Linked DNA regions of Callithrix jacchus. The protein of the gene in region 5 interacts with the protein of the main gene of each other region in a pairwise test. Links are inferred from orthologs where the notes say so. Each region holds a gene or a part of one and is shown on either strand. Other genes may lie near its edges. The genes, in order: RAP1GDS1, EPB41L3, PPFIA1, NDEL1, MBIP, BFSP2 and MCM7.

Region 1 (2,384 bases), on a different chromosome or scaffold from region 5:
CTAACAGAATCATATCTGTTATTTTTTTGTCTTCCAGAATCTCTACATAAGGAAGTACAGGATTTGGCCTTTCTAGATGTTGTATCCAAACTTCGCAGTCATGAGAACAAAAGTGTTGCCCAGCAGGCCTCTCTCACAGAGCAGAGACTTACTGTGGAAAGCTGAGAACTGCCCGACACACGGCATCATCCCTCCGTCCTCCATCCAGCTGCCTCTTCCACTTCATTCTCTACCATACCACTTGTGCATGCATGTAATGTTCTAATACCAGTTGAAGAACTGCTGTAGGTATTTGCCTAATAAGATTTCTAAACCCATAGTTAGTGTGAACATGACTTTGTCAAAGGCAAGTCTCCACCCATAACTGTTCTCTTGTATTCCTGTTGCTTGAGCTACATTAAGTAGAATGTGCATGTTGTAGTCCTATGATGACGTAAACTTGGTACTACATAATGACTTGCTCCACACATGCAGTAAACTACATAATGATGTACTGGTAAACTAGAAACATTGCAGCAGGATCTGTCTAGCTTATTTAAGAGGAAACTGAGTAGGAAAAATAGCTCAATTTTTTGGTGCTTGGGAAGCACAGTGAACAAAAAAAGCTGTATGGCTACTTATTCATTAGTCTTTCCTACTAATGTCAAATTGATGGTACCTAGAGTTAAATAAAATTCCAGTGCTCTTACTCTTTAACCTATGGTTTCTCCTTTTTCCTTTGTAGACTATTGAAACTGCCACCACAGACTTGGCAAGGCTTTCTGAGGTTTCTGATTTCATATTTAATTGACTATCATCAATAGCCCAATATTGAAAGACATTTGTAGTTTTCGGTGTGAAACTAAGGGGTTGAAGAATCGCTATTACAATCCCTATTATAAAGCATTTGCATTTTGCCTGTATTTTAGTTTCTGATACATATGCTGTTTCACCCAGGAACTACTTCTACCAGTTAATCAACATTGTCCAGCACTTGTCTGTAAACTCATTTGGCATTTGTTTTCAACTGAGTAAATTGACTATATAGTTCATTTAAGAATGGATTTTTTTTTTTTTTTTTTTTTTGCTGATTTTCATTATTCAGCTAGACAGTGAGAAGTTTTATCTTCCATAGTCCTTTTAAATCTTATGTTAAAACTTGCAGGACATAGAAGGAAGGATGAGGAAATAAGTTTCTCTGGACTAAAGAAAGGAGGGCAGGTTATAAAAGCCATGGTAGCCAGTCCAGTTCATTCTGCAGATAGCCTCATACCAATTGCTGTTAGAGTTTCCCTCTTCCACTTTCCCACTGAGAACCACAGCAATTTTAAAGGTTATGAGAAAGCCAAGATTCAAGAGATGAGAAGACCCCCCATGGTGAAATATAGTATACTTTTCACTGCCACTACCACCACCAAATGTGTTTTTAGAGCTTTGAGACACAATCTTTGTAAATTAATCAAAACTTCCCTGTGACCCACCTGCCTTTCTCCTCATACCCAAATTTGACTGCTACTGCCCTAAGAGGCAAGATGGACTTTAATATAGAAGGACTGCAGGACAGTAGAAAGGGCTGCCACGGAGGTGACAGGAGCTCCTTCCTCTTTAACAGGAGATGCTACACTTCTCTGTGGGTAATCCAAGTTGGACTTTTGGATCTAAAACACCTATAATTCAAGTAAGTTAAAATCCTGATGGAGAAATATAAAAATAAAAAATAAAAATTCTAATGGAGGTAAAGAATCTTGACCAATGTTCTGCTACACTTACTACTATAAGAATGATATTATTTGTTGTCTTTCTCCTGGGCTGGATAGTGGACTATATTTTAATATAGGCTTTGAAAGACTAATGTTGCATAACTGTTCATATATTAACTTAATAAATAAATAGTATATCAAGCTATAATGGCATCATTTGGTTTGTTTGTATATTTTGTCTATATTTCCTACTCGTAGAATAGGGATTCCTATTGATGCTCAACAAATATTTATTGACTGAATGAATGAATCCTATATCCATGAAGTTTCCAGCCTGCCTGAACTAATTCCAGAAAGATAGACTGACTGATAGAGAGTTTGAGATTTGATAGTTTGTCTGACTTTAGGGAAAAAATTTTAACAAAAGCATCCTAAAATCATAGATGTGAGAGAAGTTACCCATCTGGGCCAGCTGCCAGCCATCAATTTGCTAATATGTTAGGAACTCCCATCTCCAGCAAAATAAAGTGCAGTTCAAATTACTAATCATTCTACAGAGAGACCTGTCCCCTTATCACAGGGGCCACCAAATTAGATGGTACACTGATGTGCCATTGCAGTGAATGGAAGAGTCTATAGACTGTACTATCCCCTATCTCCTGCCACCTAATCGTAGTTGTAGAGGGCACTGTTAAATTAGTTTGC
Region 2 (4,112 bases), on a different chromosome or scaffold from region 5:
TTTGGCACCCAGTAAATGCATTATTTTTGTGAATCCATTTTTTACCTCTTTTAATGAGTCCCTAAGTTCCTGAGGGGTGACTGGATGATTTGAAGAAGGCTCCATTAAAAAAAATATTAATGTACAACGTAATAAGGATCTAAAGTACAACACGAGGACTATAGCTAAGAATAGTGTCTTATATTCACGATTTCGCTAAATGAATGTATTACAGCTACCCTTGCCACAAGTAGAGGGTTGTTGGGGGAAATGCGTAACTATGTGAGATGATAGATATGCTAATTTGTTCCATTATAATACCCATTTTACTATATATGTATCTTATATTGTATGCCTTAAATACACATAAAATTTATTTTAAAAATTAAAAAATAATGTTTTGTAATTTTTGAGGGTACATAGTATGTATATATATTTATGGGGCATATGAGATGTTTTGATACAGGCATGCAATGCACAATAATCACATGGAAGACAGGGAATCTATCCTTCAAGCATTTATTCTTTGTGTTATAAACAATCCAACTATACTTTGTTATTTTCAAATGTACAATTATATTATTTTGACTATAGTTACCCTGTTGTGCTATCAAATACTGTATCTTATTCATTCTAATTTTTGTGCCCATAAAAATATTTCTTAAATGTCTTGGTTACTTGGTTAGATCTTCAGATATTGTGAGACCACCAGGACCAGGAATTACTTCTTTCACTTACAAATCACTGAAATCCTCTCTATTTCAGTGGAAAGCTTTACAAACACTGGGGAGGACCAAGTAGCCGACCTGCGGAAAGATGGGGACTTCCCTTATCAACCATTAATTCAGATCTTCTCTGTTAACATTACTTCAAGACACCACCAACTTGATTTTTTTTTTCTTTCCAAAAAGAAAAAAAAAATACTGCAGTCCCTAGCCAATAAATAACTCACCTGAAGGTCAGGAACAACCCCCCTCCCTCCTTTCTCACAGGGGGTGTTTGGGAGGGGACGGGGGCTGGAAAGGCCGGGCCATCATCTAAGTGGGAATCAAGGGCTAAAGCTATAGGCATTGGCAGCTGTCTCCCGGCGTCGTCCACGGAGCCTGACCCCGCGCCAGGAAGGAGGAGGCTGTGCCCATATAACTGTCCTGAAGTACTGCGGTGCCCCCCTCCCCCGCGGCTGGGAGGGCAGGCAGGACGAGGTTGGCTTTCCTCGCACGGTCTCTGGGCGTGGGCCCCCGCCGCAGCTCCGCGGAGCCTCGGTGTCTCCTGCAACAGGGGGCGGGGGGAGCCGCGGCGAGCAGCCCTGGGCTGCGGCTTCCTCCCCACGCCCGAGTCTCCTGCGCACCGCCGCCGAGGACGCGCGCCCGAGCCTGGTCCCCACGCCGCGGCGCGCCCGGGCTCCCCGCCGATTTCAGGTAACTTTTCCGTCTCCCGGAGTGGGGGACTGCGAGGGGGTCTCGGCTTTACGAGGTACGGAGGAAGAGCCCGAGGCCTGGAGCGAGGCGCGCGGGGTTGTGTGGCTGTCGCGTGGCTCCGGCGCCGCGCGGTCTCCCGAATCCCGAGCCCCGCGCCCGGTTTGGCCGGGGTCCCTACCCGCCCTCCCGCTCGCCGGGACCCCAGCCGGGCCGAGCCTATGCGCCGCGCCCAGCGCCCGCTCCGTCCGCCGCGCTGCAGCAGCGGCTGGGCCGGCGAGCGGAGCGTGAGCCCCGGCCTCCGGCCTGGGGGCCTCCCTGGGATCCTTGGCCGAGGGCGCGACTCCGTCCCCTTGTCCCTTCTCCGTCAATTTGCGCAAATCCCCCGCCCGGGGCGCCATGTTTTAAGTTGCCCCTTGGGCTGGGGGCCAGCGCGGGCCAGCCCCTCCCGCGGAGAGGTGAGGGGTGGGGGGGCGACACTGAGGCGCCGCCCGGGCGGGTGGAGGCTGGCGGGCCATGGGAGGGGCCTTGCGCCCAGCGCGCGGCGGCTGCGGGCTAGTCCCGGGTGCAAGCGCGGGCGGGTGCGGCTCGGGGCCGGTAAGGTGCGCTTGGCACAAAGCATCCCCGCTGGGCAGCGGGGCCGGCCGCTTTTATGTAACTTGCCTCTTTCCCCAATCTGGGGCAGCTGCCCCCTCCCGCGACGGGGCACGGCCGGGTCTGTGGGGGAAGAGGAGGGAATGTCCGAGCGGGGTTGCTTGGGGCTTGGGCACCTGCAGGGCCCCCTCGCCGCTGGCACCCGGGCGCGTGACCGCAGGCTGGCCGGGGGCGCACGGGTCGGCCTGCGGTGGCCGGGGGACTCGGGGCAGCGCGACTCACCTGGTGCCTACGGGGCTGCGATTCGTCAGGGGAGGTGTCTGCGAAGGCGGCTCTGCGGCGGTGGGGGTGGGGAGGCTGGGACTTCGGACCGCTGGAGTTGGGGGTTTCAGTCAGTTCCTGGCGAGTGTTTCCTGGCTGCTGCCGCAGGGGCTTGGTTATTCGGGTTTCCCCTGTAGTCTTGCCCGACTTCTTCCCCTTCCCAGTCACACACCCGCCAAGTTCAGGGCTTCTGCAATGCGGTGGGTGTGGTTACCTAGTAAATTGTAACTATGGTCCCTTGCAATGAGAGTATTCTTCAATTTTCTTTTTATATTACGGATCTGAAGTTTCCTAGGGTTTTCCTTTAGTTGCAGTCCAGGGTTAAAGTTGGTAGAGATTGTTGCAGAACAGACCAAATAGAATGATAAAGGAAACATGTGGTATTAATTACTTGTGGAGGTTGGGCTGGGAGGTCCTGAGAGGGCCAGGCATGGCCCTCTAATGCAGTGCTTCTATTGCGTGTTTAAGTTGTTTCAGCTTCTTTACATTAGTCCTGCGAAATTGCTTTTGCAGATATCCTGCCTGTCCTTTTTTTGGAGGATGGTGGGGAGTGGGAATTTTAGGCTCTCTGAGGCGGTCAGGTATGCTGGAGTTTCTCTTGGTAGCATTAACTTCTGTAGTACAGAAAGCATCACACCAAGTGCTAAAAGCATTATTTTTGAAATTTACCCTGATTTTTAATGTCACAAGGAAACAAAAATGATGAAATTCTACTTACATCTGTGAGCCATGGATGTAGTCTCAATTAGAGCAAATTAAGCAGAAAAGCCCTATTAAGAAAAGAGAACAGCACATTAAGCTCCAGTGAACTCTGGGGACTGAGAGGTGATTTCTGTCTTGGCTCAGAGAGGGTGTTTAAAAAATGCATGTTAATTTTGGTATCAAACTTAAAAACCTTTAGAGTAACAAAATTAATGTGAGAGGGAATAAATTCTAAATTGGAGAAGTGTGACTTCAGTTTGTTAATTCGTGAAGCCTTGCTAGCTGGCTGAATGCTTAATACTGTCTAATTTGCATTTTGATTTTCTGGTAGTTTAGAAAAGCAAAATATCAGATGCGTAACTTACGGCATAAAGTTTATTTAGTGAATACACTTTAGTCAAAATAAGTTTTTCAAAACAGAACATTTTTTTGTGAATAATTCATCCATAACAAGAAGAGTAGCCACTTGAATTTTTAAACCTCTTTTAGGTGAAGGATTCAGTTGCTATAGGTCAAATGTCAGTGTCTCAGTGAAATATTTACATTTATTTTTTAGCACATTTCTGCATAAATACGACTTAGGTTAAAAGCAATTTTTTTAATCAATTCATGTGCAGTGCTTGGACTTTGGCTAACTTTGTGTTGAAATACAAGATCAGGATTTTTTTTTAACTTGATTGGATGCAATTTTATTTATAATTGTTTTTTTAAAAACTATTTGGTCAAATGCATTAGGGGGGCACCTAAGTAGAAGAGAGGCAACTATCCATGTACAGAGAGATGTGATGCTATTATCATCTTGTGACTCTTTTCTGGACTTGTTATAGTATATTGGATTAAGTGTGGCAGGAACTTGCTATGAAAGTGTTTTCTTCCATGTTGTATGATGTGCATTCATTTTTTAAGTTAGTGCTTTCCCTAAAATTCACAAATTAGAATTCATATCCTGTCCAGTAAAATAGAACTCCAAGAGTAGACTGAAAAATAAATGTTTCCTTTCTGTGAGAATTTGACTATATAAAGATAGAGAGTTCTTTTTTTTGGTGGTTGTTTTTTGAGGTGGAGTGCCGCTCTGTCACCCAGGCTGAAGTGCAATGGTGT
Region 3 (4,011 bases), on a different chromosome or scaffold from region 5:
TAGGGGCAAAAAGCACAAATTCATGTTTACATGTAGTCAGTCAATAAATATTTATCGAATGAATGAATAAATTAATGGCAGGTGTACCAGACCCTGGTAGGTGAGAAAGTTAGTCGGAGGTAGTGCTTGTTCTCCGTGCGTTCACAAGGTGGAATCAGGGAATTCACCTTGGACGGGCTCACGTTTCCCTCTCCTAGCCCCTATGCAGCCTGTTCTCAGACTTGATTCGTTCTGAGGGGCTCTTGGCTGCCTCACACCAACAGCAGTGGTCAGTGGAGACCGGCGATGGTCTCCTGACATGTTGGTTTGTGAAGACCAGCGCTCGAGTCAAATTCTGGGAAGATCGGGAGAGCATCCGCTTTAATTTACTAAATTTATTAGCGGCGTCTCTATTCATCTCCGTGTCTGCAACATCCAGCACAGGACCTGGCCCATGGTAGGTGTTTAAAAATGCTTGCGGAAAAGATCAAATGACCAAGCCTCGTGCAGTGCTGCCCGTCAGCTTCTCAACCAGTCGCTCTTTACATCTGATTGACATCTTAAAGCAGCCTGGCAGGTAGGTCTCCATCATTTTCCCATCCCACATCGGAGGCGCTGAAGCCCAGGCGTGTTTCCCGAGTCGCCCGGACCCACCGGGCCCTCGCTGCAGTGTGAAACCACAGCGGCAAAGTCTGCCCGCTGGACGCTGCGCCGGGGCGTCCCCAGGTGCGGCAGGCAGCGCTCAGTAAGTGGGTCCTGGAGGGAAGCGCGTCCTTCTGAACCCAGATCAGGCCCGGGGAGACTCTGGGAGCGACGCGGAGGGCGCAGTCGGGGCCCCAGGCGGTGGCTGAAGCCTTGGCTCGCTCTGCCGCAAGATGGGAATCCAGAGCCTCCAGCTCGGGAGGGACCTGACGTGCCGGACTGGTCCGGCTCAGAACCCGAGGCGCGGCGGACTGACGCTCGGCAGAGGCCTCCGCTGTACCTGCAGCTGTGGGAGGAGACTGGGGACCCCGCGAGCACCTGAGCTCCCACCTGTGGCTCATCCCGGGGACGCCGCCCCCAACCTGGGCGTGGAATGGAAGGGCGGGGCTCCGTCACGTTCAGCCAATCAGCGCCCTGAAGCCGCCGGCCGCCCCCTCCTGAGGAGACGGCACTTGCGCACTCGGGCCGCAGAGCTCCTCGGGCCCCGCCCCCGGGGCAGTGCTGACGCTCGCGCCGACGCGCCCGACGTCGGGCACGTTGACGCCGGCGCCGCGCAGCCGGGCCCGCTCCTCCTCCGCTCCGCCAGTGTCCGGCCGCGGGCCGGCCTTAGTGACTGGGGCGGCGGGCCCCGGGGCCGCGGCGTGGGGCGGGCAGGCTGACGCCGGCCGCGGGCTGCCTTCGTCTGTTCTCAAGCTCGCCTGGAGCGAGCAGCCGCCCGCGAGCCGCCGCAGAGCCTCCTCGTCCGCTCCCGCCGGCGAGCAAGGTAAGGGAGCGGGACACTGAGGCAGACCCGGGGCCCAGGCGTTCCCGGCGGGTCCCGATCCCCGCGGCGGCCGCGCAGCCGATTGGATGTCTTGGCGGGGAAGGGTGCGCTCCGGGGCGGGCGGGGGCGAGGCGGTAGGGGAGCTCCGGCGGGACCCCCGCGCCCCGAGGGACGGCTCCGGGGGCTGCGTGACGCCCCTGCCCGAGCCCCGCGCCCCGTGACCCTGGCGCTGGGGCGAGGGGCGGGGACCTGCGGCCGCTGAAAGCCCCGGCCCGGGCGGGCTCTGCTGTCAACGGTCCTCACCCCCGGGGTCCTGGGCTCCCGCCGCATCTGCTACAGGAGGGGAAGGAGTGCGGGCGCGAGCAGGCTGGAGGTAACCATCCGCATCAGGTGCGCGGTCTTGGGCATCCTCCTCTCGGGGGTCCACCGCACCCCGAATACTTGCCTTAAGGCTCAGAAGCGACTTCCCGTTCCCCTCCCGCCGTCTTTAGATTCCAGACACTTAATAGTCTCTCATAATCTCACCTTTCACTTTTCCTTCTTTCCTAGCCGCCCCGGGCTGTATCGACCTGCTATATTTCCATTGTGGAATTTTTTTTTTTTTTTTTTTTCCGGTTGTAAACTTACGTAAGTTAGGTTGACTGACCAACCGTTGCAGCCGTTGAAAAACACTTCTACCAGCGTGTAACGAATTCAGTTCTTTTTAGTGCTCACCGAATCCAGCCCAAGAATTCAGGGAGCCGGCCGTTCTTCCCGGGAGCTGACCGCACACATTCCTGCAAGATGCCTGATGGATTTTGTACTTGTCAGTTTTGTTGGCTGTGTGCTCCTTCTGTGCTTTTCCTGAAAAATGATTGGGTGACATGTGTTTTGACTTTCTCTCCCCCCACTGGGAAGTAGAAAAAACAGGTAACAGAAGCACACTTGTTTTCCACGAAAACGTACAGCTTTGCTAAAAGACCACCCCAGGGTTTGCCTTTTTTGTTGTTGCTGTTAGGGCAGTCCTCTGGGATCCTGACTCCCTCCCTGGGTTTTTGTCCGTGTTGATGTCTTCATGTCGTGTATTTCTGCACTTAATATTTGCCCCGTGTGTGTATGTTCTCAGCTTCTTTACATACAAAGCATACCAGTTCTGAGAATAATGCGGCTGCCCATCTTTTTAGCTACAGATACTGTGGGAACCTGTATTCGCACTTAGTGACCGTAGCTTGGGGCCTTGATTTCCAGATGATGTGCGAGGTGATGCCGACCATCAGCGAAGCAGAAGGTCCCCCTGGAGGAAGCGGAAGCCATGGGTCTGGCTCCCCTTCACAGCCGGACACAGATTCACATTTCGAACAGTTGATGGTCTCCATGCTAGAAGAAAGGGACCGTCTTCTTGACACACTGAGAGAGACTCAAGAAACGCTGGCATTAACCCAGGGGAAGTTACACGAGGTTGGTCATGAAAGAGATTCCTTGCAGAGACAGCTCAACACGGCACTTCCGCAGGTATGAGTGCTTTTAACCTGGAACTCTATAGATGCTTTGTTAATGTTTCAGATGAGCATTTTCCGTAACCATTTGTGAAATGATGGTTTCTGGTGTTTGTAAGTCAAATACAAAGTTCCTAGGGATTAAACCTCTTAGGGAGAACAAACTGTTGTACTCTAAAGTCCTGTGAAAAGACCTCATTATTTTCATTCCTGTCTTTGGGAACTGCCTGGGTTCAGGAAGTTCGTTCTCCAGAGTTGTTGAAAAACGGCTCTGAAGCCGCAATCTATACGGTGCCTCTGTTCTGTTGTCTTAGCCTTTTCTTCCTAGACTTGTTCTTCCCACGGATTGTGTCTCTCATGTATTTCCAATTTCCTAATGAAATTTCATGGACAAATAGGATTGATTTCACAGAAAAAAATATTTTGATAGCCCACCTTTTTCAGAACACCTAGGTTTTTGTAAGTCACATTTGTTTTAGGGGATAGAAGACTGGAAATTGATTCCCTTAGAAACTTTTTCCTTGGCAGATGAGAATTTTAAAGCTTAGGCCGAATGTGGTGGCTCATGTCTGTAATCCCAGCACTCTGGGAGACCGAAGCAGGTGGATCACCTGAAATCAGGAGTTCGAGACCAGCCTGGCCAGCATGGCAAAACCAAAAACACAAAAATTAGTGGAGCATGATGGCACACACCTGTAGTCCCAGCTATTCTCGAGCTGAGGCATGAGAATTACTTGAACCCGGGAGGAGGAGGTTGCAGTGAGCCAAGATTGCACCACTGCTTTCCAACCTGGGTGACAGAGCTAGACACTGTTTCACTGTCTCAAAAAAAAAAAAAAAAAAAAAAGGTTTTTAAAGCTTAGAACAACTGAAATTGTTTCTCTGAGTATATAACATTTGGACCAGTGTTTGAAAGACTTTGCTCATGGAGTTGAATGAGGATGAATTAGTGGTAGGTAAACGGAGGAGGGGTAAAAACTAGAAAAGTGTGAGGTGAGTGGCGCGGAGCACAGTAGGAGAGAAGTGGGTTACTTAGGTGGTTCAGAGCCCTCTAGGTGCCATGTCACTTACCACAGGTGCCTTCGCGGTGCC
Region 4 (3,500 bases), on a different chromosome or scaffold from region 5:
ATTTCTTTAAGTTTGCTAAACCTTCCTGAGTGGCTTGTGCTCGATAAACTCCAAGTTCTCTGCATCTCCAGATTTTATTAATTTACTTTTAAAGCTGGTCTTAATTTCTTGCTGCCTAGTATGGATTAGGTTGAATCAATTATGCTTTAATTCAGTAAACATCATAGAGTATCCACTATTGTGCAGGCATTGGGCTGAGACGGAACTAAATAAGTCAACCTAACAGGTGACACAAAAGGTGTAAGCAAATGCATTGCTCTGTGGTAATTATATCAGTGAAAGTGTGTGTAGGGTATAGAGGTAGCAAAGAGTGCAAGAGATTTTAATACTGTCCAATTGAGGGCAAGAAAACCTCTCTAGAAAAGACGACAACTAGGTTTTAAGGATAAACAGAAGTTTTCCTAGTAAGGGGAGCAATTCCAGGTAGAGAAAACCTGGAATGGGTTTTCCAGACCTGAAATAGCATGGTGTGTTAAGATAGTTTTGAACAGTAGTGCTGGAATATAAAGTGGGATGCTTGGGAAGGGCGGTGCTAGGAAACTGTAGGCATGACTCTAGAGTGAGCCTGATGATCGGTTGGGAGTTTTAGGTAGCTAGTCCAAATAGAAGTTTGTTGAATTGCTTTTCCCCCTCTCTGAATGCCTTGGGAGAACAACCAAGATGAAAGAGAAATCACTGAAGTTGGAGATTAGTGGCCTTTTGGAAGGAAGCTTTGGACTTCAAAGATAATTAACAGGAAGTTTTTAGAAATTTGATCTTAGTAAATTATTGAGAATGTGGTGCCTGATTTTCTAGTAGGGTCACCTGGCATAAAATGTTCCATGCAGCTGTTTTAAAGGAATAGTACACTTGGGAAGGGCATGCATGTGGCAGCAGCATCTCTGACAATCAGCTTGTTTCTGTCTCCTGATTCCCAGAAGACCACTTGGCCTTAAACCAACTTCGGGAACTCTGTGTGCATCATGATTCTGTTAGCCAAGTCACCCAGCACCTATGCTGCAACTGAAAGTGCCTCATGTTGCTTTGTATGAAAGAACCTTTGTTAAGACCTCATTCACAATATTGATGGTCCCTGAGAGGAGCGGTGAAGTGGCTTACATGCCTGAGTTGCAAGAGAGTTGACCACTAGAATCTCTCATGTTTTACTCCCAAAATGCTGCAATTTATTCTTGTCCCAGATTTTATGCTTTTGCTTAGATTTCTCTGTTCTATAATTTCTTTGTCTTTAACGTTTCACAGGCTTTCTTGATCATGGATGGTGAAGATATACCAGATTTTTCAAGTTTAAAGGAGGAAACTGCCTATTGGAAGGAACTTTCCTTGAAGTATAAGCAAAGGTAATGTTGAAAAGCACACTAAAAGTAGGGGGAGGGCATTTGAAATGCACCATGTCTTGTTTGTATATTTTTCTTTTTAACATAAAGTTAAATTTAGAATTGCAGATATAGGATTCTATGATTGAGATTCTAGAAATTGTCACCACATTGCTTGTATTTAAATAGTATAAACATGCTGTAAGTCTTTATATTGTTCAAATTATTAAAATAGGAGGAAAACTGTCATTTATGATTTCTTCTGATCATTTCCTTTCTTTATGCTTTTTAGGCCGTCTTTGGCCTGCTTTGCGTGCACTGATTCTGCCTCATCATTTTGGTCATTTGGAGATTCTGATAAGCTGTCTAGGGCTCCGTAGAACAGATTACGTTCTCCTCAGGCAAGCATGATCAGTGTCTAGAGCCAGCAAAGCTTTGAGAGAGGGGGAGAAGCTTCAGGGGCATGGAATGTTTCATACAATTTCAATTATTTGGTTGGGAGAACTTTTAGATAAAAACCTTTTGCACCAAAACTTGTCTCAAATTAATTTTTAAAAAATGGGATCTTTCTAAATAAAATATTGACACATTTTCCTATTTTGGTTAACAGAGTTTACTAAGTCTTATCAAACATTTTACTCCTCTTTTATTATTATCACCGAAGTCAGTTACTCTGTTGTGCCGGTGGGATATGAAAGGTGTGTATCTATGGCAGGGTTCTTAATCTTTTTCTGTGTCATAGATGTTGTAATAGGCTGGGGTAGCCTATGGACTTCTCGGCATAATGTTTTTAAATGCATAGAATAATAGAATTACAAAGGAAATCAACTATATTGAAAAAAAGTTATCTAATTTATGGCATAGCAGTATGTACTTCTCTATTAATGCATTAAGTAAAAAAGATACAGAAGTGAATGTAATAACTACCTAATTTTGAAATAGTCATGACAATAAGTGATATTTAGAGATAGATGCAGCAATACTGTCGTGACATGAAAATATCTGTGATTTCTGTTGAATAAAGTAGAAGGAAATGCCAAATTTGTTACTTTAATAAAAGTAAAGATGCATTTTTTCCCCATCTGAGTTCTGTGGTGGAAGAAGTTAATGGTATTGAACCATGTTGACTTACTTTTCATAAATATTGTAATCACTGACTTGTGACTGCTTTTTGGGCTTGTAAGTAATTTTCATTGAACCCTGAATATATACAGTAAGAGATGGAAAACAGATTGTCTTTAGTATATTTCATGAGAGCATTAGCTTTCAAGCAAAAATTATTGAATTGCTATGTAATCATCTCCAGGACCATTCTTGTGGTTCTTACTATAACTCATCTTTCCCACTTTGTTTCTGATTAGCTTCCAGGAAGCTCGGGATGAGCTAGTTGAATTCCAGGAAGGAAGCAGAGAATTAGAAGCAGAGTTGGAGGCACAATTAGTACAGGCTGAACAAAGAAATAGAGACTTGCAGGCTGATAACCAAAGACTGAAATATGAAGTGGAGGCATTAAAGGTAATTGCAGCAGTAGAAGCTGGTGTCTAATGTGTTGGGTTTAATTAAAATGAGAAGTATATTTTTCAGGGGCTTAAGAGCAGCAGGTGACAAAAAGTGGTTTTTAAAAAAAGGCTTAAAGTGAATTTTTGAATAAAATGTTTTCTTTCACGGAACCAAGGGAAAAGGTGGTTTAGAGTTTAGGAGTTCACTTAAAAACTTTGTAGCTATCACTTTTCTAGCTATAATGTTCTAGCTGTATTATATTTTAGTTCCTATACTTTTCAAAAGCTGCCTGATTATTTATTTTGACAGAGTACCTCATTCTGAAGTATGTTTACAATTATATTTATAGGAAATACGGATTTATTTAATTATTGCTCATAGCTCTTTCAGTTTTGGAATTTAGTTTGGATTAAAGATTTTCCTTCTAAAAAAGGAGTTTTTAGGAGCAAAAGGATTAATCCTTTTCTCCGCCCTTCACCATCTACTGTAGCCACATGTTTGATGGTGTTTAGTGTTTGGGGAATAGGTGGGTTTGGGGAACGCTGGATGGGAAGGTAAAGGGTAGGGAATTTGAACTCTGCTTACCCATGGCTGCATTTAGCCTGAAAACCCAGAGGTTTCCCCAACAAGTTTGGGGATTTTGAGGCAAGGGTTTTTTTAATATACTTTTCAGAGAGATCGTTACTG
Region 5 (4,162 bases):
GGAAAAAAACAAACAAGCCCATTCAAAAATGGGCAAAGGATATGAACAGACACTTTACAAAAGAAGACATATATGAAGCCAACAATCATATGAAAAAATGCTCATGGTCACTGGTCATCAGAGAGATGCAAATCAAAACCACATTGAGATACCATCTCACGCCAGTTAGAATGGCGATCATTAAAACATTTGGAGACAACAGATGCTGGAGAGGATGTGGAGAAACAGGAACACTTTTACACCTTTGGTGGGAGTGTAAATTAGTTCAACCATTGTGGAAGACAGTGTGGTGATTCCTCAAGGCTTTAGAAATAAAAATTCCAATTGACCCAGCAATCCCATTACTGGGTATATATCCAAAGGACTATAAATCGTTCTACTATAAGGACACATGCACACGAATGTTCATTGCAGCACTGTTTACAATAGCAAAGACCTGGAATCAACCCAAATGCCCATTGATAATAGACTGGATTGGAAAAATGTGGCACATATACACTATGGAATATTATGCAGCAATCAGAAATGATGAGTTTGTGTCGTTTGTAGGGACATGGATGAATCTGGAGAACATCATTCTCAGCAAACTGACACAAGAACAGAAAATGAAATACCGCATATTCTCACTCATAGACGGGTGATGAAAAATGAGAACACATGGACACAGGGAGGGGAGTACTAAACACTGGGGTCTATTGGGGGGAAAAGTGTAGGCCCAGCACGGGGGTGGGGGTGGAAGCTGGGGAGGGATAGCCTGGAGAGAAATGCCAAATGTGGGTGAAGGGGAGAAAGGAAGCAACACACACTGCCATGTGTGTACCTATGCAACTGTCTTTCACGTTCTGCACATGTACCCCAAAACCTAAAATGCAATAAAATATTAAAAAAAAAAAAAAGAAAAGATTGCAAAACCCCACAAGTATCTTTATAATAAAGTTATATAATACTTTGTAAAGTTTCAATTCGGTTTTATGTCCTTCTAATTTCAAAGATTGTGGTTGCATATTATTTATCCAGGTTAAATTCCTGTTGGAATGATACTGACAGTGTTTCACATAGTCCCCTACTACCAACATTCACAAGGAACATCCAGGAGTCAAGGTAAGCTTCATGATGCTAACCCTTAAGAGACCACGACTCTAATGACCACCCCAAAGACAGCATTCTAGCCTAGCTTTGGTCTGCAATTCACTTCAGAGCTTCGGGGCAATGCCACAGCTGCAACTGATTGGTGTACGTGCTTGTCAGTCACATACAGAGGGTGGAGCCTCAAAGCCCGGATATAAACGAGACGCCGTGTCGTACGTCATCACCGAGCGACTAAAGCGGAAAAGGGAGGGGGCGGGGCTGTGAGCAATCCTTGGCGGCCTGAGAAGGTGTCATGGCTGCTGCCACGGAGCTTACTCGCCCGAGTAGCGGTGACAGGAATGTGGAGCGAAGATGCAGCCCCAGCCTCTCCCGAGAGGTGCTCTGCGAAATCTTTCGCTCCCTGCACACCCTGGTTGGACAGGTGAGAAGTGGCCTCAGGGATTGAGGGTATGGAAACCATCCGGCCTCTCCCCCTCATTCTTTTCCTCTAGCGGAGGCCAGAGGCAGCGAGGCCTGCCAAGGTCTGAGGTGCGGCCCCTGAAGCCGAGGTCGGGGAGGAGCCCGGGCCGAGCCGTCTCAGTCGGAGTGAGGAGGATGGCGGTACCGGTTGCCAAGTGGTTTACCTTGCAGCTGTCCTCCCCAGCAGTGGGTGAGGATGGTTTAAGTGAAAACCCGGCCCCGAGAGGAGCAGACTTGGAGAGAATGAATGTGGAAAAGCTTAACTGCGGATTTATGAGGCGCCTCGCGCTCAGGCTCCTTTTTCTTCCAACTTACTCAATTACGGGAATTGGTTGGTCAGTAGGCCTGAGATTTATAGAAAAGCGCGCTTATTAGCTTTTTTCAGGGGCTAGAGGGAGTAATTTGTTCTTATGAGTCACTTGGTTTTGTTTATTTCTTCTTTCCTTCGGGCTGTTTTGTGCATCTATTACCCTTTTAAATGGAGAGGAAAGTAAAAGGAATTCATTTAAAATACTTCTAGCGTAAAGTTGGATGAGTTATCCCTCTTTGATGTTGTTTGCAATAGAACGGGCGTTATTTAACTATTATTAAACGGGCGTAGTTTAACTGGCTGATAAATCGCTTTTGCAGAAATGTGGTAAAATTGGTTTTAAATTTAAATGGACTTCTTATTCTCTGTGATCAAGTCACTGTTTCGTTTCATGGTGTAAAATTCAAAGCAGATTTTAAATGTGAAACAGTTTAAAATTATGCTTCTTCACCTGCTTATTAAAAGGAAATATTTTCTATCTTACATAGACCATTTTCTAGCCGTAAAAGTTTGTTTTGGAGCTGGTACTAGTGCCTGTGGACACAGCAGGCATTTGTGTCAAAGACAATGGTAAATTCCTATAAAAATAGAACATTTGTCTGATTTGTGAAAATTATTTTTTTAAAGCCTTGAGTAGATGGAGAATCAGTCTTTTAAAAAGTTACTAAAGTAGTTTTAAAAATCGTAGTATGTTGTGTCTTACAAAGAACATTACTGTAAGTTTAGCGGTTTTATGTAATGACGCAGTTGTTAATGAAATCTGCTAAAAGATACAACTTTTAAACTCAATTGTTTGCCAAGTACTTACCAAAAACATTTTTTTAAACACTTGGGGTCTTTTGTTATTAACATTGTAGTCTTAAGAACCAAAACCTCTAAATGGTTTAAAAGTTAGAGAACTTTTTATGGCGACGTCGGAACTTGTTTATTTTCTAATGTCAAGATAAAAAAAGTTTATGCTCACCTATTAACAGAAGATGGAATATTTAAAAAAAATATTGAGCAATGATTTAAACTTTTCTTTTGAAATATTTTGCATACTGAATTTTTCAAACTCATTAGAAAATTTTAATGATTCAAGTACGGTAAAGTACAATTAAAGAAATGATTACAGTTTACTTATGTCACTTGTCAAAAATGTTGACAGTAAATATTTGGTGACTTTACTGTGACACAGTGAAGGGACCTCCTACACAAGTGTCAAAAATATGATTGTTTCATCAATTAAATGTAAACCACTTTCAAAATACTCTGTATTTTGAGAAATGTTTTTTAAGAGTGAAAGCCAGAGTTCAATACTTATAAAATTGCCCCCCCGAGAAATCAGTATTTTCTTTTGCGACCAGTTTAAAGGATTTTTAAAATGTATGTTGTAACATACCTAACTTATCCTGTGTCATCCCTAAGTATCATTGTATTATTAGATCTCCTCAGTAGGAAACACAAAACTGAATGTTAAAAATAATTTTTTACTTCAGATCACAAAATTTACTAATTTTAACCTTTTTGCTTGCCTCTGGATGGCCCATCTTACCAAGCTGAACAATTACTTATTTTTAGCTTGGATTTTTGTATTAATTTAGTAAAGTTAATGAAACTACATATTTAAATAGTCTATATTAATAGCAGACTAATAGAGATTTTCAAGTGAATGGTTTACTCTTCCAAGTTCTGTAGGGCAAAATGCATAGGATTCATGTGACTAATAATGAATGTCTTGAATGAATAGTTAGATGAATTAGGATAGTTTTATAATTAATTTGTGACATTATGTGGTTTTCTTAAAAGACCAATTATTCTTAATTGCACTTGAAGGTTTATATAATTCTGCTGAATTGAAATGAGAATATGAACCAAACATTAAGACTTATTTTTCTATACGTTATTTTCTCTAGAAAAATGTGATACTTTGCTTTGGTTGAGGATTTGCCTGCTTTATCCCCAAGCTGTATTCATAAGTTTTCTATAATCGAGTATAGATCTCTTTGAAGACTACAAAAGTATATTAATGGGTTACTTCCATACATAATATGGGTTGTTGTGTAGCAAAATCTTTATAGGCATTAAAGTAATATAAATTAATGCATTAACTTTAAAGTCTTAATATGTTCTAATCTTTGCCAGTGCAGCCTACATGAAATTTCATATATCTTTACACTTGTTTAATATGGACTTTTAAATTCTTCTGTTCTTATCTTAAAAGGGCAGTAAATTTCTGTCACATAGTGTTTATTCAATATATTATCTTTTTATTGGTAACCTTACATCTTTTTGATCTTTGTACAGTGATTCATCTTTATAACT
Region 6 (3,500 bases), on a different chromosome or scaffold from region 5:
TAAAGTTCAAATCCAGCTTCTCCACCTAAGTCCCTGACATTCTGGCAGAAAGAGGTAATGCCTGGTTCTCCCGGAGATGCTTGAGCTTGAGTGACTGTGATCAGGTGACTGTTGCAGGCAGTAGCTAGCTCACTCAGCCACACAGACAGTACCAGCAAACAAACTGAAATCACAGAAGCACACTTATTCTGCCAATTTCTCTGGAGATCTGAAGGGACTTTCTTGAATTGCAAAGCCCTCCAGAAAGTAAGAGAGTGACTTTATGTAACTTCTTACCTTGAATTCCATTCCTGATTTAAGTTCAGCAGGCCTCAAGCACCATTATTTGTGCCTACCTTCCAATGCAAATAGTGCCTTATTGGCAAAGGGGATCAAAAGTTTTGCCAGCTCGGTTGTCTGAAGCTTATATAAACTGCGGGGTCCTTGTGAGTGCACAGGTTGCATTGATGGAGAATAATGAGAATGGCTGGATGAACTTTCTGTATTTAAAAACTGTATGAGAGTTTGGTACCTATTTTGTCTCAATCTGTGCTCCTCACCTTGGCTGCAAGGCCTTGTGACCAGAATGATAATGTACCAGAACCAGCAGGGAACTGAGGCAGCCTGTTCTGGGCCATGGGCATAACCAGAATGCCACTACTCTGAAGTTTTCTGGTTGAGGGTGTAAATTCTTTTTCCATTTTTTTCCTCAGTAGTTAGGACAGTGGGTTTAAGTGAGGTGACCAGGTGGCTGGTGGTGCCAACTTGGAGTTAGTATACTAGTAGTTATTACAGCAATTTTATGATAGTTAATAAAAGATGGCATCTATTGACTGCTCACTAAGCACCAGGCACTGTGCTAAGGGCTTGACATACATTATCTGATTAATCATTTCGTTGACGTTATGAGGTAAATTCTATTATGACCCTAAGGTGGATCACACTTCCACTGGCAGCTGCAATTATCTTCACTCCACAATCGCTTCCTCAATGTGACCTTGCCATTATCCCATCAAGAAGTTAATTTCTCTCCCTGTTGAATCTAGGATAGTCTTGTGACTACTTTGACCACTAGAATGTGGTATAAGGGATGTTCAGAGACTTTCAAGCCCCAGTGTGAAGATGCCTGGTAGCTTCTGTGCTCACTCAGGTGCCATATCAGGAGTTTGAGTATGTCAGGCTGTCATGATATGAGGAGGTCCAAGCTAGCTACACGAAGCGGTCACAGGGAGAGAGAAAAAGAGATGCATAACTGAGTAACCAGACATGTTAAGTGAAGAAGCCATTTTTGGGTGTTCCTGCCCTAGCAGAGACCACATGAGACAGAGAAGAGTTATCCCTGCTGAACTCTGCCTAAATCACAGAATGAGAGAACAAATGATTCTCTGTTGTCTTAAGCCACTAAGACAGTAACTAGATATAATAGCCAAAATAGATCCTCACTTTATAAGTGGGAAAATGAAAGCTCTGCTCATTCACAGAGCTAGTGAGTGAGTAGAGCATCCACCATGAAGTCTATATCCTGACTCCCACAGCAGGGGTGATCTCTCCCACCTGCCACCTCCTCATGTTTATATCAGCTCCTCCACTGAAGCTGCATTAACTCCTTGGAGGCTGGGACCATATCTAATTAGTTTTATGTACCCAAAGCACTTGGTACAGTTCCAGGAACATAGCAAGTTCTCAAAGTAATGCTAACAGTAAGAAGAGTGTGTCATGTGCATCCTCACATTGGATCCTCCTAGAAACATTGAGAAGTGGGCTGGACTGTGGCTGTCATACCCATTTTGCAGAAGAGGAAACTGTGGTTCAGGGATTTGCTTATTTACCCAAGGGATAAATGGAGGAACTGAGACCTTCTGACTCTATTACTCTTCATTTTCCTTCCCTCAGATCCTCTGATGTTTTTCTTTTTCTTTCTTTCTTTTTTTTTTTTGAGACGGAGTTTCGCTGTCGTTACCCAGACTGGAGTGCAATGGCATGATCTCAGCTCACTGCAACCTCCGCCTCCTGGGTTCAGGCAATTCTCCTGCCTCAGCCTCCTGAGTAGCTGGGATTACAGGCACGCACCACCATTCCCAGCTAATTTTTGTATTTTTAGTAGAGACGGGGTTTCACCTTGTTGACCAGGATGGTCTCAATCTCTTGACTTTGTGATCCACCCGCCTCAGCCTCCCAAAGTGCTGGGATTATAGGCGTGAGCCACCGCGCCCGGCCCTGATCCTTTTCTTATACATGCTTGTACTGACCTACATCCTATCATGCACTTCATTGACTTCAGACCATTTCAGCTGCACAAGGATTACATGGACAACCCTTTGATCTTCACCAACAAAGCTGTAGTTAGAACAGTGCAAATGGCCTCCTGGAGGGGTTATCTAAGAAGAGCTGTGTTTAACAACCAAATAGAACTTCCATCCATCCCAGAGATCAGAGGGTGGACTGCTTCATTATTAATACATTTTATTGATTATTTTAATCAATGATAATTGGTAATGAAAGAGACATGCTTGCAAATCACAGTGAGTCTGAGAGCTTACTAGATGTTTCAGGTTGGGTTCTCCAGAAGCAGAGCCTGAGATGGGGATCCTGGAACTTGTAAATCATTAAGGAGTAATCTCAGGAAAAGGGGGAGTGAGGAAAGCAGGATAGGGCAGAGACTAAGCAGGAATGCGGTCCCTGGAATCTGGCCACAGCCTGGTCCCATGGAGAGCTCTAGAGCATGGAGCTAGCTTCACTTTGGAGGAAGAAGGCTGGGCTTTTAAAGCCCCCTCTCAGTCACTGGCTGAGGCCTGGGGGCAGGGCATAATCTTCTGGGCCAGGTGTCCTCAGTGTGGGTAAGGGTAAGTCTCAGGAGCAATGGGGCAGCTGAAAAGGGGCAGCTGCAGGTGTCAGCAGCCAACATTCACAGCAGCAGCCTGGTAAGAGAGATGTCCATGGGGCACTACAGTGCCTATTGCACCTGCTGTTATTCAGTATCTGATGATCCTTGGGAGTCAGAAGACATTTCAGGCCTCAAAACTCATATCCTGTGAGATGGGAATCCCCTGCAAACTATGATCCATAATACTGGAATTTGACAGTAGAGAGTTAAAATTAGCATAGGGATGCCAGGTCTTTCCTTGGCCCACTTACCAGGGCACGTAAGGATTCTGTCTCAGCCTGGAGGCTCTGGACTTGGCACGAAGTGTTGTGTAACTCCACCCTGAGGGCAGCTGCCAGCTTCTCCTCCTGGGTCTGGGACATGTGGGTCACCTCCGCCTGTTGCTGTGGAGAGTCAGGTCTCAGTATGAGCAGAGATGATCAGAAGCTGAGCCTGTCCTTCCTTTCCAGCCTTTCTAATCACCACTCACTGCCTCTACCCAGAGGAAACACAGCTGTCACATGGAAACATCTGTTACTTTATTTTATTTTTTTTTTCTGAGATGGAGATCTTGCTCTGTAATCCAGGCTGGAGTGCAGTGGCATGATCTCAGCTCACTGCAACCTCTGCCTCCTGGTTCAAATGATTCTCCTGCATC
Region 7 (2,711 bases), on a different chromosome or scaffold from region 5:
AGAAAGGCAGTCTCAGCTTCCGTCCTGTGGGCTTATCTGTGGCTGGGCAGGCAGGGAGTCTTGGCGTGGGATGCCTAGGGAGGGAAGGTTGGGTCCTTGTTTATTTCTCCTGAGCCTTATGTGCTCTTCCCTCCCCTAGAGTGACCAAGTACCCGTGGGAAATATCCCTCGTAGTATCACAGTGCTGGTAGAAGGAGAGAACACAAGGATCGCCCAGCCTGGAGACCATGTCAGTGTCACTGGTATCTTCCTGCCAGTCTTGCGCACTGGGTTCCGACAGGTGGTACAGGTAAGGAAGGGAGTTTGATATGAGGAACAGATCATCCCATTTCCCCTCACCCACTGTACCCATACAGAGAAAAGTGAGTAGCAAAGCACCAAACAAAACAACACAGTGCTTTATCAAGAAATTGTTAGGGAATCTGGTGATGGGTAAGTTCTAAGGATTGCATCTGTATCCTGACATTTTCCTGCCTAAGGGTTTACTCTCAGAAACCTACCTGGAAGCCCATCGGATTGTGAAGATGAACAAGAGTGAGGATGATGAGTCTGGGGCTGGAGAGCTCAGCAGGGAGGAGCTGAGGCAGATTGCAGGTGATGCTCAGGAGAGAGAGGAAATTCCGTTTACATCCTACCCCCCCATTTTCCCCCACAAAATACCTTAACCTTAAAATTCTCCACAGAGGAGGATTTTTACGAAAAGCTGGCAGCTTCAATTGCCCCAGAGATATATGGGCATGAAGATGTGAAGAAGGCACTGCTGCTCCTGCTAGTGGGGGGTGTGGACCAGTCTCCTCGAGGCATGAAAATCAGGGGTAAGAAGAAAAAAGGGCAAGGCTCAGGGTAGATGAAGTCATTTGGGAGGAAAAAAGGATGACAAGTGTCCCCATAGGTCACAGTATAAGAGTGGGCGTCTTCGATTCATGGACACAGGGAGGGCTTAGAAGTAATGCTAGGTGTTGGGGGAGGCAGAATTCAAAATTGCTCTGCTGTTGGCCAACTTGCACTGGGAGAAGAGTCATTCCTGGGCTGCCTGTCTTCCTCTAGGCAACATCAACATCTGTCTGATGGGGGATCCTGGTGTGGCCAAGTCTCAGCTTCTGTCATATATCGATCGCCTGGCCCCCCGCAGTAAGTAGTTGGACTTTGAGAGGGGTGAACATAGTGACAGACAGGACCACAGGGTTTATTCAAAAAGTGGGGGTGCATAGTGGCTTACACCTGTAATCTCAGTGCTCTCAGGCTGAGACAGGAGAATCATTTGGGGCCAAGAGTTTGAGACCAGCCTGGGCACCATAGTGAGACCCCGTCTCTACTAAAAAGGGCTTTTTTTTATTATTATTATTTTTGTTTGTTTGTTTTTGTTTTGAGACAGTCTCACTTTGTCGCCCAGGCTGGAGTACAGTGGCGTGGTCTCAGCTCACTGCAACCTCCACCTGCTGAATTCAAGTGATTCTCCTGCCTCAGCGCCCCACAGAACCTTGGGCATCCCGGGGAAGGCCTGGGGCAGGTGGAACAATCCCAGCGCAGCCCCCCCTCTCTGGCTCATTTCTTGTCTTTTGCTTGCTCTCTCTCTCGTTCCTTTCTATCTCCTAACATGGCTCCTTATTTCTTCTCTTCCAGGCCAGTACACAACAGGCCGGGGCTCCTCAGGAGTGGGACTTACAGCAGCTGTGCTGAGAGACTCCGTGAGTGGAGAACTGACTTTAGAGGGTGGAGCCCTGGTGCTGGCTGACCAGGGCGTGTGCTGCATTGATGAGTTTGACAAGATGGCTGAGGCCGACCGAACAGCCATCCACGAGGTCATGGAACAGCAGACCATTTCTATCGCCAAGGCTGGCATCCTCACCACACTCAATGCCCGCTGCTCTATCCTGGCTGCTGCCAACCCTGCCTATGGTCGATACAACCCTCGCCGCAGCCTGGAGCAGAACATACAGCTGCCTGCTGCACTGCTTTCCCGGTTTGACCTCCTCTGGCTGATTCAGGACCGGCCTGACCGTGACAATGACCTACGGTGAATGAAGCTCAACACCCAAAGAGAGGTCCCCTGTAATGATCTGTGGCAGGGGCCGGGGGTGAATCAAAATAAATACCCAGCTCCTGGAAATCCCAGAACCTCCTCCTTGTGTCAGGGACTGGTCCAAGGTTCTCAGGAAAATGGTGGGTTGGGGCTGAAATGCTAATGAGGATTTCCCAGGAAAGCTTGTTCCTGCTATACCATGAGATGGGTGGAGCCAAGGGAGGGATACCTAAGAGGACATGGGTATGTAGCCCTATAAAGGGTGTTCCTCCTCACCTCCCCTCTATCCAGGTTGGCCCAGCACATCACCTATGTGCACCAGCACAGCCGGCAGCCCCCCTCCCAGTTTGAACCTCTGGACATGAAGCTCATGAGGTAGGAGAGCTGGGTGCAGATGGGCACACATTGTCAGCATGGGCCATGCAAGCCTCCTCAAAAGGCTTTAGTCTTAGGGTATTTTCACACCACCACTTCCTGCTTCTGACACGTCCAGAGCCTGAAAATAGTCAGGGTCCCCCTGGAGCCTGGTCAAATGAGAATAACTTTTAAGTGGAAAACTCCACACTTCATGTGAAAGGGACACAGGAAACTTTTGCTTCCTATACACAAATTTTTTTGGTTTTTGAAACAGAGTTGCTCTGCCGCCAGGCTGGAGTGCAGTGGCGTCGTCTTGGCTCACCGCAACCTC

Evidence for each region.
Region 1: the proteins of MBIP (region 5) and RAP1GDS1 interact in binary tests that used the Homo sapiens proteins (3 or more experiments, as listed by UniProt). The two-hybrid records come from large-scale screens. The link is inferred for Callithrix jacchus from reciprocal best matches to the Homo sapiens genes MBIP and RAP1GDS1.
Region 2: the proteins of MBIP (region 5) and EPB41L3 interact in a two-hybrid assay, tested with the Homo sapiens proteins (2 studies listed by BioGRID). The two-hybrid records come from large-scale screens. The link is inferred for Callithrix jacchus from reciprocal best matches to the Homo sapiens genes MBIP and EPB41L3.
Region 3: the proteins of MBIP (region 5) and PPFIA1 interact in binary tests that used the Homo sapiens proteins (3 or more experiments, as listed by UniProt). The two-hybrid records come from large-scale screens. The link is inferred for Callithrix jacchus from reciprocal best matches to the Homo sapiens genes MBIP and PPFIA1.
Region 4: the proteins of MBIP (region 5) and NDEL1 interact in binary tests that used the Homo sapiens proteins (3 or more experiments, as listed by UniProt). The two-hybrid records come from large-scale screens. The link is inferred for Callithrix jacchus from reciprocal best matches to the Homo sapiens genes MBIP and NDEL1.
Region 6: the proteins of MBIP (region 5) and BFSP2 interact in binary tests that used the Homo sapiens proteins (3 or more experiments, as listed by UniProt). The two-hybrid records come from large-scale screens. The link is inferred for Callithrix jacchus from reciprocal best matches to the Homo sapiens genes MBIP and BFSP2.
Region 7: the proteins of MBIP (region 5) and MCM7 interact in binary tests that used the Homo sapiens proteins (3 or more experiments, as listed by UniProt). The two-hybrid records come from large-scale screens. The link is inferred for Callithrix jacchus from reciprocal best matches to the Homo sapiens genes MBIP and MCM7.

The regions. Positions count from the first base shown.
Region 1 is NC_133504.1:99,071,395-99,073,778, reverse strand, and holds the end of RAP1GDS1 (rap1 GTPase-GDP dissociation stimulator 1), read left to right. Parts: intron 1-37; coding exon 38-165; 3' UTR 166-1,884; downstream 1,885-2,384. UniProt on the Homo sapiens protein: Acts as a GEF (guanine nucleotide exchange factor) for the Rho family of small GTP-binding proteins (G proteins) that stimulates the dissociation of GDP to enable subsequent binding of GTP.
Region 2 is NC_133514.1:57,672,833-57,676,944, forward strand, and holds the start of EPB41L3 (band 4.1-like protein 3), read left to right. Parts: upstream 1-1,312; 5' UTR 1,313-1,397; intron 1,398-2,783; exon of another isoform or gene 2,784-2,923; intron 2,924-3,027; exon of another isoform or gene 3,028-3,079; intron 3,080-4,112. UniProt on the Homo sapiens protein: Tumor suppressor that inhibits cell proliferation and promotes apoptosis. Modulates the activity of protein arginine N-methyltransferases, including PRMT3 and PRMT5.
Region 3 is NC_133511.1:127,208,175-127,212,185, forward strand, and holds the start of PPFIA1 (liprin-alpha-1), read left to right. Parts: upstream 1-1,211; 5' UTR 1,212-1,444; intron 1,445-1,669; exon of another isoform or gene 1,670-1,834; intron 1,835-2,139; exon of another isoform or gene 2,140-2,353; intron 2,354-2,671; coding exon 2,672-2,935; intron 2,936-4,011. UniProt on the Homo sapiens protein: May regulate the disassembly of focal adhesions. May localize receptor-like tyrosine phosphatases type 2A at specific sites on the plasma membrane, possibly regulating their interaction with the extracellular environment and their association with substrates.
Region 4 is NC_133506.1:74,965,951-74,969,450, forward strand, and holds part of NDEL1 (nuclear distribution protein nudE-like 1), read left to right. Parts: intron 1-1,239; 5' UTR 1,240-1,251; coding exon 1,252-1,337; intron 1,338-2,674; coding exon 2,675-2,828; intron 2,829-3,500. UniProt on the Homo sapiens protein: Required for organization of the cellular microtubule array and microtubule anchoring at the centrosome. May regulate microtubule organization at least in part by targeting the microtubule severing protein KATNA1 to the centrosome.
Region 5 is NC_133509.1:70,910,381-70,914,542, reverse strand, and holds the start of MBIP (MAP3K12-binding inhibitory protein 1), read left to right. Parts: upstream 1-1,362; 5' UTR 1,363-1,381; coding exon 1,382-1,510; intron 1,511-4,162. UniProt on the Homo sapiens protein: Inhibits the MAP3K12 activity to induce the activation of the JNK/SAPK pathway. Component of the ATAC complex, a complex with histone acetyltransferase activity on histones H3 and H4.
Region 6 is NC_133518.1:50,672,677-50,676,176, forward strand, and holds part of BFSP2 (phakinin), read right to left. Parts: intron 3,247-3,500; coding exon 3,115-3,246; intron 1-3,114.
Region 7 is NC_133503.1:13,487,264-13,489,974, forward strand, and holds part of MCM7 (DNA replication licensing factor MCM7), read left to right. Parts: intron 1-139; coding exon 140-289; intron 290-479; coding exon 480-594; intron 595-683; coding exon 684-815; intron 816-1,047; coding exon 1,048-1,131; intron 1,132-1,623; coding exon 1,624-2,017; intron 2,018-2,314; coding exon 2,315-2,398; intron 2,399-2,711. UniProt on the Homo sapiens protein: Acts as a component of the MCM2-7 complex (MCM complex) which is the replicative helicase essential for 'once per cell cycle' DNA replication initiation and elongation in eukaryotic cells.